Nothobranchius furzeri: one gene and its partners. The protein of the gene in region 3 interacts with the protein of the main gene of each other region in a biochemical or structural test. Links are inferred from orthologs where the notes say so. Each region holds a gene or a part of one and is shown on either strand. Other genes may lie near its edges.

Region 1 (3,650 bases), on a different chromosome or scaffold from region 3:
TGTTTATGCTGTTGTCACCTTTGTCTACAGCTTTGCTCTTTTAATGCTGCAGCATATGAGACACTTTCACAGCACAGCAAAAAATGTACTAATGCCTTTGTGTGAGTGTGTGTGTGTGTGTGTGTGTGTGTGTGTGTGTGTGTGTGTGTGGTTGAGATAAACAAGAGTGAGTTGTTTTCTGGGACTACCGCATTCATGTTATACAGCTGACCTTTGTGTTGCAGGACACGCACAGACACGTTCTCTTTCTTTAATCTCCAGCTGATGATGGCAGTCTGCATGTTGTGAGTTAGTTGCCATAGCAACAGATGACTGTTGACATCAGACACCAGCGGGGTGTCTTTTGGGTTATGTTGTGTGTGTGTGTGTGTGTGTGTGTGTGTGTGTGTGTGTGTGTGTGTGTGTGTGTGAACTTAACTCTAGTAAACTGACTGCATATTTTTATGCAATCATGCAAATCTAAATGTAATCTAAAGATTATTTCTGAACCCTCCTCTTTCTCTGACATGTTGCACATTCTGTCACACGTTTGCATTTAAACCTTTCCGTTTCTTTTGTCATCTCATCTCTAATTTGTGCTCTGTAATCATGCATAATCTGTAGATTTGCACCATTAGTGTGTTTTTAGTTAACCCCCCCCCCCCCCTTCTTTTATCAGGATGGGCTCATGCTGTCGGGGGAAGGAGAGAAATGCCGGCTGTTGAAGGAGGCTCTGCCGAGACTGGAAGGACTAAAAGCAGAGTCCAGAATCCTTTATCTTTAATATTCTCTGAGCCAGATAATTCCCTTCTGTTATCACAATATCAAAATGTCTTTTAGATTTTTACTTTCAATTATTGTTAGGACCAGTCATTTTCTTTGAAATCCTGGTTTGATATTTTTGCTCATTTGCTAACATCAAAATTGGTTCAAATACTGTGAGGGAGGGACTGGGTTGAGAATGCTTTCAGAAATATAAATGATTGTTTATTTTTATCACTTTACAAAATGCAATGTGAGTGAGTCCAAATATGCAGCCAAAGTCATTAAGAACTATCTTCAACATAAAGAATAACAGGAAGTCCTGGTAGTGATGGTCTGGCCCACACATATTCCAGATCTCAACGTCATAGAGTGTGTCTGGGATTATATGAATAGACAGAAGGATGTGAAGAAGCCTACATCCACAGAAGATCTGGGGTTAGTTCTCCAAGATGTCTGGAACAACCTACTCGCTAAGTTCATTTAACAGCAGAATAATCTTGTATTATAAAATTAATCATAGAATAATCTTGTACACCAAAAATTCATGATATCAAGTCTCAACCCATTGTTGCCATTTATATATTGATAATCACACCAGTGCTGAAATTCAGCAACAACGCACGACCTGTGAGTGTGATATTGTTTATATACAACAGTTCTACCTGCACATTTTATTTTTATAACAACAATAAGCAACAACAGATTATGATTTGTTCATTCATTTAATCATTTATCAGGCTTTGCCTACACAAATAGTCCCAACACGAAATGAAGACTCAGACAAGGCTGTTGCTAGGCAACACAAACATTTTCTACAACAACGGTTAGAACGCTTGTGCACATCGGAGTGATACTTTTTGTAAACAGTCCCAGTGTTGTTATAGTCCAATATCAGCTCTCTTGGACAGTCTCTTGACCAATCAAATCACTCGGTCGCAACTAACTGTTGTATAATTGAAGGCATAGCATAGTAACTTCATCAAGAATTGGCTGACTACACGACAGACGATGTAGATGTCATTTTGCACAGCTGCATCGTGTTCTTGTGACCTGTAGCTGCGGATTACTACAGTGCTTTGTCATGTCGGCTCCTGTAATTCTTTGTTTGTGTTAGTTATTATTTTCATTTTTAGTCAATATGATTATTGAGGTCACAAATAAAATTAGGATAAATATTGAGAAATTTTAATAACTCTTTAACATAAAATGCTAGCTGTTACCATTCACGTACATTGTTTATGCTAAGATAACCCTGTCAGAATACTGCCAGATTAGGAGAATGAGTGTTACAAAATGCTTTTTCCTACTTATCTAACTCTGGAGAATATGGTGACACAAAATTTCACTTTGGGGTGGAATACCCCTTTTAAGACAGTGTTTATCAATTCTGGTGCTCTACATGTTTTCTATGTTGCCTTTTCAAACACCAGTGTTTCCCTGCTTCCACACACACCTGACTTAAATGAGTGGGTGATTAACAGGCATCTGCAGCACTTGATGTCTTCATGAGGAGCCAATGCAAATATTTAAATCAGGTGCACGTATGGAAAACATGCAGGACATGGGGTCCTGAGGACTGGAATTGAGAAACACTGATTTAAAAATAATTTTTTTTAGAAAATAGTACAAATAATGTTGCGTTCAAATCTGTGTTAATCCAGAGGGAAATTTTAAAAACAAGACAAATACTTAAAGGATTATAAGACTTGAGCCAACAGAAGCACATGCTCGTATCGTGGGATTGCCTCCGGATCGTCACCCTGATCATAAAACGCATGCATGAGTTAACATTACAGCAGCAAAGTAAATTAATTAAAATGCCAAAAGACAAATTTGCTGACTTGCTATAATCTTAGATCACATTAGAACGTTTAAATAAGCTACTAGAGGTATTACTTTTTCTACTTGGAGATAAGTTCAGACACTGGCTGCCAGTAGAGACTTAGGACATGATTAACTGAGCAATTAAGACTCTTAATTAAATGTGGGGCTGTGCTTTCATGTTCATAATTCTGGCTCTGAGCAGTTTTCATCATAACAGAAAAGAGAAGAAAAGACAGGCACTACTTAATTATGTCTTTACATAAAACAGTATTAATAACTTTATGCAAAGTGGTTCTCATACATACTTCAGGCTTTCCTCGGCAGTCTCCAGTGTCACTCTCCTTTTAAAAGCTTCTAGGATCAGTGTTGCTTTTCCTTAATTCTTCATCTAGATTGGGAGGAGATGTTGGAGGGTTGTAGTCATCTGTTGTCAGCTGTTAAGGGTGATGTCCCTGATGAGAACCTCTACAAGCTGAGGATTACAGACATGGCTCTAGACGCGTCTGTTCACTTGGGACGCTGGGAGGAGGCTTTGAGATACGGCGTGAGGACTCTTCCAGCGTACAGGTAGGTAGTTTTTTTTATCTTAATCTCAGACAGGCGACTCTCACAGGATTCCCCCAAAAAAGATATTAGATTAAATACACTTGAATCCCTGGATTTGTGGAAGTTTTTCAGGTTTTATTGGATTAATCGTTAAAAAATACATCATTCACCCTTGTAAATACTTGGATGTTTTGATCATATAAGTTAATTTCTTATCTGTGCAGTTGCATGCTTCACTAACCATTTGTAGATGAATTGAAATGTAAATCTGCAGCAGCACAAAGAAGCAATCGCCCAAATGATGGACGGTTTCACGATTACTCAAGGACGGCTGATGTTTGACGAGTCAGTATTGTGCTTATTTACAACACCTCCTGTCACACTTTGTTTTCAGTCTTTGTGTTTAATTACACAAAAAAATCAATCCTGGATTTTTCATGTAAAAAAAATAAAAAGTATCATTGCTGAAAACTTGAGTCACCAAATATGTCAATTAGGCTTCAGAATCAATCAGAGATTATTTATTTTGGTCTGTG
Region 2 (4,207 bases), on a different chromosome or scaffold from region 3:
CCAATGTTAACATTATCTATGTTTTAAGAACCTCTTTAAAACCACTAACAAGCATAAACAATAAGGAAAATAATCTTCTAAACAATCCTATTATATTATTATATTATTATAATCCAATTTAGAACTCAAATGAAAAAGGCATAAGTGCAGAACTTGAGTAACCCTTTCCAATCAAGCATGATTTATTGTCTTTGGGCTAGTTTTTGAGCAACAGGCGTTCTGAATTTAAGCATTAGATGTTGGCATGCCTGACAATGAAAAATGTTCTTTCCACACAACTCTGACCTGTAAGGTCCAAACCTAAAGACAAAACATGCCATTTTCACACAGATTACCCCTTTTCAAAGCAGCCGTATGCAAACCAACTCTAAAATCAGCTGGTTCACACCTGTCGGAAAAAGTGGACTGATCATACCTAACATCATAATAATGATGATTCAACAAAAACCTGACTGGAGTGGGTTTTAGAATACCAAGTGATCGTTTATGAAGTTATTGTTATACCACAGGTAGTTTCTGAGTAAAGTTACAGCTAAGCTAAACTTGATGAGGCACATTCAAACTATGCTGTTTATGTTTTCTTAGAAAATATGTATCTGTGAAGATGATCATAACATAACAGAGATAGAAAATGTATCTTCTCCATTCTAAATTATAAGAATACCTGTGAACCCCCACCCCCTAAAAAAATCCCTAACGATTTACTGGAAATGCATGGGGCAGACCAATGCTCGTGTTTTATTTGACTACTACGGCAACTTTTAGTTTGAATCAAAAAGTTGACATGCATAATCACCAATATGGAAAATTATCTCAGGTTGATATATGACTGTTAAAGAGTATAGTTATTTTATGTATCCCATTAGCTTTCACTGGCATTTATTTCTGTTGGTGACAGATGCAGGTTGTATTATCAGTCCCTACCCTGTGCCTTGAGTTTCTCTGCTCCAACACCAGGTCCATCGGTTGAATCACCTCTTCAGCAGCTCTGTAACCTTTCAATTACTTGCTGATACAATCAGGTGAGAGAGCAGATAAACCTCAGATAAACATGGAGGCCCTCAAAACAAGAGATGACCGCCACTGTCCTAACAATCCTGATTAAAAATGGTCACTAATATTGTAGGTATAAGATTATGACCTTCAGACATTGTTTGAGGTGCATGATGGGATTACATTAAAATTTTAAATGAACGCTTTTTGCTGGTTACTGACCATATTTAGGCAACCCTAAAGTATGTTGGCAGTTGATAGTAGACGGCATGTTTCTGTGAAACACCCACGTGGGCGTACTTTGATCATGTGACTGAAGAGGCGGGGCCAAATGTTCTAGGTTCCCAGATTCCTCCCTTTGCTTTCGCTTCCTCATAGTTTTTATAAAACAAACTGAGCTCTTTAATCATCCTATTCTGCTCCAGGTCAAGTTCACACTAAAGACAGACTAAAGTTACAAGCTGAAGACCGGAACCAAAAGGGGCGCGTGAAGGTAAATACCGTAGTTTTCCGGCTACGGTCGATTTAGGCAACTGCGCAAATTAGCAAACAAGCTAACGAAGCTAGCTAACTGACACTTTAGCAAACTGTCAAAACCCAAAGTCACTATCTCGACATTACGCACCTACATCAAAGCAGCTGATGTGTTTATTTTTAGAATGCAGGCTTATTGAAATGCGTGTCCTTGAATAATATAGGCTAGTTTTTAGCTTTTGGTAACTCGAGCATCCACGTTTAAGCAAGGGTCACCAGCATAGAGAGCTACTTCATGTGTACTGAGCCACATTAAGGGCTACCAGGATTCTACAGTTCTGACATTTGAACTGGAATAGATCAGAGTTAAACCAAACTTCATTTATAATAAATATATTTTATTTATTTGGAAGGATTTGTAGTTTTAAAATCAATATTGATGCATTTGTAATTAAAAAAGAAGGCTGCAGATTTGTATTTCGTTTTAGATATTTGCCATTTAAAGAAGTGGCTTTATATTATGCCAGGAGGCACCATGGTGCAGTATCGTAAATTGTGCATGTTTGTCATACGGTTAAACACACATTAAGTTGTGACACACTCGTGATCATGGTGACTACTTTTTTTTTTTATAAAGATTGCCAACAACAGTGCAAAGATCAAAAGCTGATCCTCATCAATAAAGCATCTCAGATAAAATCATACTAGATGTTACAGTTTTAGGACTAAGCCTCCACCATGTAGTGGGCTTTCTGAGTATTTGGGTTGTGAGAACACATTTTCCATGTGCCAGTGTAGAGGTGGCAAAACTATTCCCCCCATCCTGCTTTCTTAGCTGGCGTGCTTTGATCTTGGGTCATTAGCCCGTGTACAGCATGTACTGTGACTCCTTATTACAGCAAATACTTTATCAGTGTTTGTCACTGTTGTGTATAATCTATTTAGGAATGCTGCTTTAGTGTAGATTGTATCAGGTTACGCCCTTTGCACCGCCTTTCCTGTTCCCATGCCTCACACAGAGTATCCAGCACCAGCATGTGATTATAGCCTGGCTGCCTCTCCCAAAGGCTTAGCCTGGATGCTCAAACCAGCTCCCTGTTGTTTTAATTCAAGTACATTTAGGACTTTTGACTAACCTTCAAATCTGCTTGTCTTTCTCCTCAGACTTCATACATTCAGTAGCTGTATCTATCCAGGAAGGTCCTAGTTCAATTATGTGTGATAATGAAGAAAATGAGCATCTGGAATCAGATGGTGCTATGGATTTTTCATTGCTCAACAATCGCCTGAACTCCTTCCGCCGCTCCATCCTGGCTGAGCAAGTTCCAGCTGAACGACTGGCACGAGCAGGCTTCTACTTCACCGGCAACGCAGACCGCGTCCGCTGTTTCAGCTGCAAGAAGACTGTGGAGAACTGGACCAGCGATGACACGCCTGTGGAGCGGCACAAGGAGGTAGATCATGGATTCAAAGTGTTGAACGATTGTGACTTTTTGTTCTGCTTTAGAGGTTTAAATAATGATCTCTCTTCCTGGTACAGGTTTCTCCAACGTGCTTGTTTCTCAAATGCTGCCACCGAACCAGTTTCAACCCGAGCTTTCATAACCCGCTCACTAATGGCTACAACGAGGCTGCAGAACACATGGAGTATCGTTTGTTAACTGGAGCCGTGACTGACGACACCATGTACCCTAAAGCCCCTCAGATGGCGTCTGAGGAAGCCCGCCTTCAGACCTTTTCCTCGTGGCCCGTTGATTCTCTTATGAGACCCAGAGACCTGGCACAAGCTGGTTTCTTTTATTTGATGAATGCTGACCGAGTGCGGTGTTTCTGTTGTGGTGGCGAGCTGAGTGACTGGGAACCAGAAGACAATGCTTGGAGTGAACATTCCAAACATTATCCAAACTGCTTCTTCATACTTGGGCATGATGTGGGGAATGTGCCGCTTCAGGAGAGCAGTTCTCAGGTCTCCATGGAGAGTTTTGAGGGGAGACTTGGCAGCTTTGCTGGTCTCCAGCTCCCTGTTGACCACAAGAGTCTCGCCACGGCGGGCTTCTACAGCTTAGGTACAGCGCCATCGTCATCTGTGGACAAAACTCATACAAAAATGAGTCACTGTTATATCGTTGTTCTGATTTTGTTTTGACACATCTGATTTGTGCTTACAGGAATGGGAGATAGGGTGATGTGTTTCAGTTGTGGTGGGAGTTTGAAAGGTTGGCAGCCTGGGGAAGACCCCTGGGAACAACACGCCAAATACTACCCAGGGTTAGAGGAAACATCTGTCTTTTCTTGGCAATAAAAATTCATTATGGAGACATTTTTATTTATGCTGCTGTAACTTTCTTCCCCATTAGATGCAGCTTCTTGTTGGCAGAAAAAGGAGTAGAATTTGTCAACAGCATCCAACTAAATGGACCCAAACAAAGTAGAGCTGTAAGCAATCTCCTTCTTTTTTTCTTGCTATTGTGATTATATGACAAACCATAGCTTGTAACTTTACCTGTCAATCTGATTCCCAAGTCCCTTTATTTATAAAAAATAAACAATGAAAAGGTTTGAATCAGCTGGAATTGTGTTTTAAATCATTTTACTTGTATTTGGTGTGTTTTAGTGAACTTTATGGAACATAAGGAACCAAATGTACTTCTCTTTAGGTCTCGGAAAATGACTGTGATGCCCTGAATCATTAGTAAATTTGGTTTGTTCAAGCTGGAAAATAATAACCTGTTTTTGCTTC
Region 3 (4,412 bases):
CTTTGTACCTCATTGTTGGTGTAATGAAGGTCCATCGTCTGACCAAAAGCCACTTTAGCTTTGGCCTTCAGATCTTCCAGCTTGACGGGTCGAGGAAACTGTAAGATCCTGCAGAGAAGATGAGAAGTCAGAAGGCTGCAGCTGCTGCTGGTCTGAAGGAACAGCATTAGAGAACAAATGTTTACCTTTTCTCTCCTTTAAATTCAAACTTCACTCTCACATCATTCTGTGGAGACAAAGTCACGTTGAGCATAAAAACCATTGGGACGACGACGTGGGTTTTATTTTGAGATCTCAGAAACATGTTTGCTTTGTTGAGCTTTTCTCACACTTCATGTCCAAATCACATTTCTGTGGTTACCTGGTTCTTGGGCGAGGAGGCTTTGGGTTTGCCTAGGTCCGACAGGAAGGTAGCAGGGCGGCTGGAGCGTTGCAGTTCGGCCAAGTCCTGCATGATGGAGTTCAGGGCCTCCTGCTCATCTGCAAAGATAAATTAATCGGGTTTACAGATTATCCACAGCAACAAGTGACACTTTGATCATTATGCTAACAATCGCAAACCTAAAAGATAAAAACAAATGAGCCCCAGCAGGAGCTCATGACTCGTCGCTTAAACAGATGTCATAATAGAAAAAGAGACATTGTTTACAGAAAAAAAAGATTATTTAAGTTTTTAGACAAAAGACTCAGCTGGCTCTCTGCCAGCTGTAACATGATCACAAAGCTCGCACACATACCCATCATCATGGCACGGCAATTGACCCAGGAGGCCAGGATAGAAGACTCTCCCATCAAAGGGATTCCTTTCTCCTGAAACAGCAACACAACTGGATAAATAATAGCATTCAGTTTAATGAAGACGCAAGTTAGAAAGCATGGAGCTGCTGACTGATCCGCAGATCTGTAATTGGTGAGCCAGAGGCAGAAAGAAAATGCATAAATGGGGATTATTGGAAATGTTTGCTCTGATGTCTTTTAAGGGAACAAAATCTTGTGGAAAATTGTTTTGTTCCTATGATCCAATTCAGGAATGACACTGAAACTGGCTCATCGTATGCGTCACTTGGTTTGATTTTTGCAGAACCAAAAATCCTTATTTCTCAACAAATATGGGGGTGAAGTTACTTTTTTGGTTGCCTTTAAATGCAGTGAGCATTCTTGTCTTCTTTTATTTCATCCTGTTATGAGCTCATTTTTTTACACCCTAACTCACCTGTAGAGTCCAAGAAGCTCTACTGTTGCTTATTTTGGAGGTGTGTTTGCAAAAAGCAACAAGAAACATAACATGCTTTATGGAAACTATTCTTAACATGGACTTCAGAGGTTTTCTGGCTTTTTGGCCGTTTTTATTACCAAACAGCTTATAATACTACATCTGCAGCTACCTGCTTTATAATAAATACAGTTTCATTGTGTTCAAAGATGTATGGAAACCTCTGTAGGTTCACCTGAACACAAGTTTCACAGACAATTATAGTGTTGGCAATTCTTCACTAAAGTGGCATCATTAACACAGAAGCTGGCTGGTGTTGACGCAAAAACAAAACACAAACCTGTAATTTTAAATCAGTTAAAACGTTTAAGGAACGGCAGATGCACTAATATTCCAACTAGAAATACACACAGGTATTATTTCTCAGAATATTAAGAATATTGCCTTAATTACTTTATGGTATTGTTGTTATTAAAGCCTTTAGAAGATAACTGTATTTGTAACCCATAAGCCCCGGAAGTTAACAACTGTTGCTAGCTAATTTTACATTACGACTCATGCCAGGATAACATTTCAAAATAGCTGCTATCTTGACATGAAATTCTTGAAAAATACAATTTGTTGTTTAAGCAGCAGGTTTTGGGGGATGAAATGGTAATGACTCCACTGTTAGCTGTCAGGCAAGGGAAGTTATCAGGCTAATCAAACGCTAAAGCTAACTCCTAGCCGCTGGGCTAACCGAGCTAACCAGCACTCGCCCGCGCTGCACAATTATTGGAACAGTTCATGAACGAAGTGAGATTGTTTTTGTCTTCAGCCTAATCCCACCTGATGAATAATTTAATCTCGGTTTATTTCCTCAACCACAGGACCGGTGACAGGAGCCCCGGGCCCTGTGGAGAGCCGCTGGAGGAAGCAGAAGTTTGTCAGTCCGCTGTCAACTTCACTCGAGTCTTGCTGGGCCACGACGACGAGGCCCGGTAGCTGTTGGTTCAGCCGCTTCGTCTCTCCAGGAGGGGAAGTGACAGGGTGATATTTATTATGTTCGGCACGCTACACTCCAGTGCGACAGTTCAAAGGCTAATTCAATCCACAGATCTCATTTTGTTGTGCTACACAGCCTGCTTAACTGTACCTTGCTCGATGCTGACCCCTAGTTTCATCGAGCTAACATGTACGATTAAAAACACACCGGAAATAATTACGCCGTGTTTATAAAATAAAAGCAGCACGTCTCGTGGTGGAAGGCAAAGTGGCGTTCTGTGTTTTATTTTGAAACAAATGTTAACCGAAAGTACTTTTATTTTGAGAAGCTTAACTAGTGTTAACCCCTAACCTCACTGAGGGTCCAACAGAAACATCATACAAACATGACAAGTAAAAATATTTATTAGATTTTTGAGCATTTGTTTGGAGCTTCATTTCAGTTCCAATTTATTAAATAAGTTGTAAACACAGTGTTTTATAGTATAAATTAAGCTTCCGTTTAGACAAGTCACATTTCCTCATAATTTAAATTCAAAGCAAACGATACTCAAGGTCAATTCAGGTCATTCAAATGCCATCCAGTGTGACTTGCTGTTCCAAACACACTAGGCCCACTCATTATCTGATTCATTCCAGTGACTTTTTTTCCGGAACTGCGCTGCTCTGGGTGGCTGCATGTTGGAGTAGCTCTGTTGACTATATGTAAGTTTAGCCTTTTCTTTAGCATTTTTTCTTCTAGTTTCTCAAGAAAAACTATTTTTTGGACACTTTACTTTTCTGTTTCTGGTGCTGTGAAGCTTGGAGGATTTTTACTGCTATTTTTTTTAGCTTTTTTCACTTTTTGAGCATTTGTTATGATGTGTAACCATGGCAACAAGCTGGTTTACAATCGGGAGCAGCTGATTAACATTGGAAAGGCTGAAATAATACCTCAACTGAAGCCACAAATCCCAAATGAGCTAAAATGCAAGAAGCGTGGGTGCAGAGCGTGAGCAAAACGGAGACACAGAGAGAGAGGAAATTCAAACCATCTCTTCCATCGATCATAATGGGCAATGTGAGATCACTGGTCAACAAGATGGAGGAACTCCAAGCCCTTTCAAGGACTCAGCCAGAGTTTCGGCTGTTCGGGAACCGCTGGAGGAGATAATGCAAAGAAGGATTCTCCAGAGAATCAAGAAAATTATGGACAACCCTGAGCGTTCTCTTCACAAGACTGTCCGACAACGGAAGAGTGTCTTCAGTCAGAGGCTTCTTCAGTTTCGCTGCAACACTGACCGCTACTGGAGATCCGTCCTGCCAACAGCCATTGTAATATACAACAAATCTTTGATGGCTTGATTATTATTATTATTCTGATCTACTACAGCAATCAATTTCCCTCTGGGATTAATAAAGTATTTTTGAATTGAATTGAATTGATTACATGCTGGTCCAAGTTCATTCAGTAGTGATTAACTTGACCCCTATTAATTCCAATTTAGTTCAGTTATTTGCAGTCAAATCCAGTCATGTTATGATAAAATTTAAATTGTTTCATTAAACACTATGTGTAAATGTGCATTCAACGCATAATTTTACCACTTTATATTCCCAAACAGCAAAATTCTGCTGCAAGAAGAACAATTCGTTTGATTATCTTTGGTGTGTTCTTGCTGTGTTGAAATTCTAATTCCATCTTTTAGTTTTTTTAAACACAGAAAGGTTTTATTTACCTGGGTTTTGCAGCCGCAAACGAAACGTTGCAGGTAAATAAAATCTTTCTGTGTTTTAAAAAGAACTAAAAGATGGAATTAATTTGATCACATTTTAAACACACCGCTCACTTCAGATCAATAACACTAAAACTGTGTCTTGCGATGGGATCAACATATTAACGTGCGCCTCATTGTATGATTTTTCAGATAAATGCAGTAATAATGATTATTAGACTTTTTTATTCATTGCAATTTGTTTGAATTTACATGAGCAAATGATTATAATTACTTTTAGACAATGATTGCTACTTCTGATAGTTTGAACATTTTATCTAAATATTATTTAAAAATATTTGTTGTTCACTGCTTTCATTAGAAGCGCAACAACAGCATAAAAATATAAAAAATACTATTGTTTCTCTAATCTGAAGGGAGTTTTATTGTGAAAAAACGTCTTTTCGTCACTTCCGGCTAATGTCGAATTCCCATAACATCTAACGAGAGCTGCAGCGGAA

The links.
Region 1: the proteins of map3k2 (region 3) and smyd3 are reported together in a solved structure, tested with the Homo sapiens proteins (2 studies listed by BioGRID and IntAct, with this or other methods). The link is inferred for Nothobranchius furzeri from reciprocal best matches to the Homo sapiens genes MAP3K2 and SMYD3.
Region 2: of the proteins of map3k2 (region 3) and xiap, one has a biochemical effect on the other in vitro, tested with the Homo sapiens proteins (2 studies listed by BioGRID, with this or other methods). The link is inferred for Nothobranchius furzeri from reciprocal best matches to the Homo sapiens genes MAP3K2 and XIAP.

The regions. Positions count from the first base shown.
Region 1 is NC_091749.1:34,481,647-34,485,296, reverse strand, and holds part of smyd3 (histone-lysine N-methyltransferase SMYD3), read left to right. Parts: intron 1-658; coding exon 659-746; intron 747-2,960; coding exon 2,961-3,135; intron 3,136-3,650. UniProt on the Homo sapiens protein: Histone methyltransferase. Specifically methylates 'Lys-4' of histone H3, inducing di- and tri-methylation, but not monomethylation. Also methylates 'Lys-5' of histone H4.
Region 2 is NC_091741.1:25,549,280-25,553,486, forward strand, and holds the start of xiap (E3 ubiquitin-protein ligase XIAP), read left to right. Parts: upstream 1-1,327; 5' UTR 1,328-1,486; intron 1,487-2,631; 5' UTR 2,632-2,681; coding exon 2,682-2,921; intron 2,922-3,007; coding exon 3,008-3,533; intron 3,534-3,635; coding exon 3,636-3,735; intron 3,736-3,824; coding exon 3,825-3,903; intron 3,904-4,207.
Region 3 is NC_091743.1:83,211,096-83,215,507, forward strand, and holds the start of map3k2 (mitogen-activated protein kinase kinase kinase 2), read right to left. Parts: upstream 2,882-4,412; 5' UTR 2,042-2,881; intron 811-2,041; 5' UTR 793-810; coding exon 738-792; intron 481-737; coding exon 362-480; intron 227-361; coding exon 186-226; intron 109-185; coding exon 9-108; intron 1-8. UniProt on the Homo sapiens protein: Component of a protein kinase signal transduction cascade. Regulates the JNK and ERK5 pathways by phosphorylating and activating MAP2K5 and MAP2K7. Plays a role in caveolae kiss-and-run dynamics.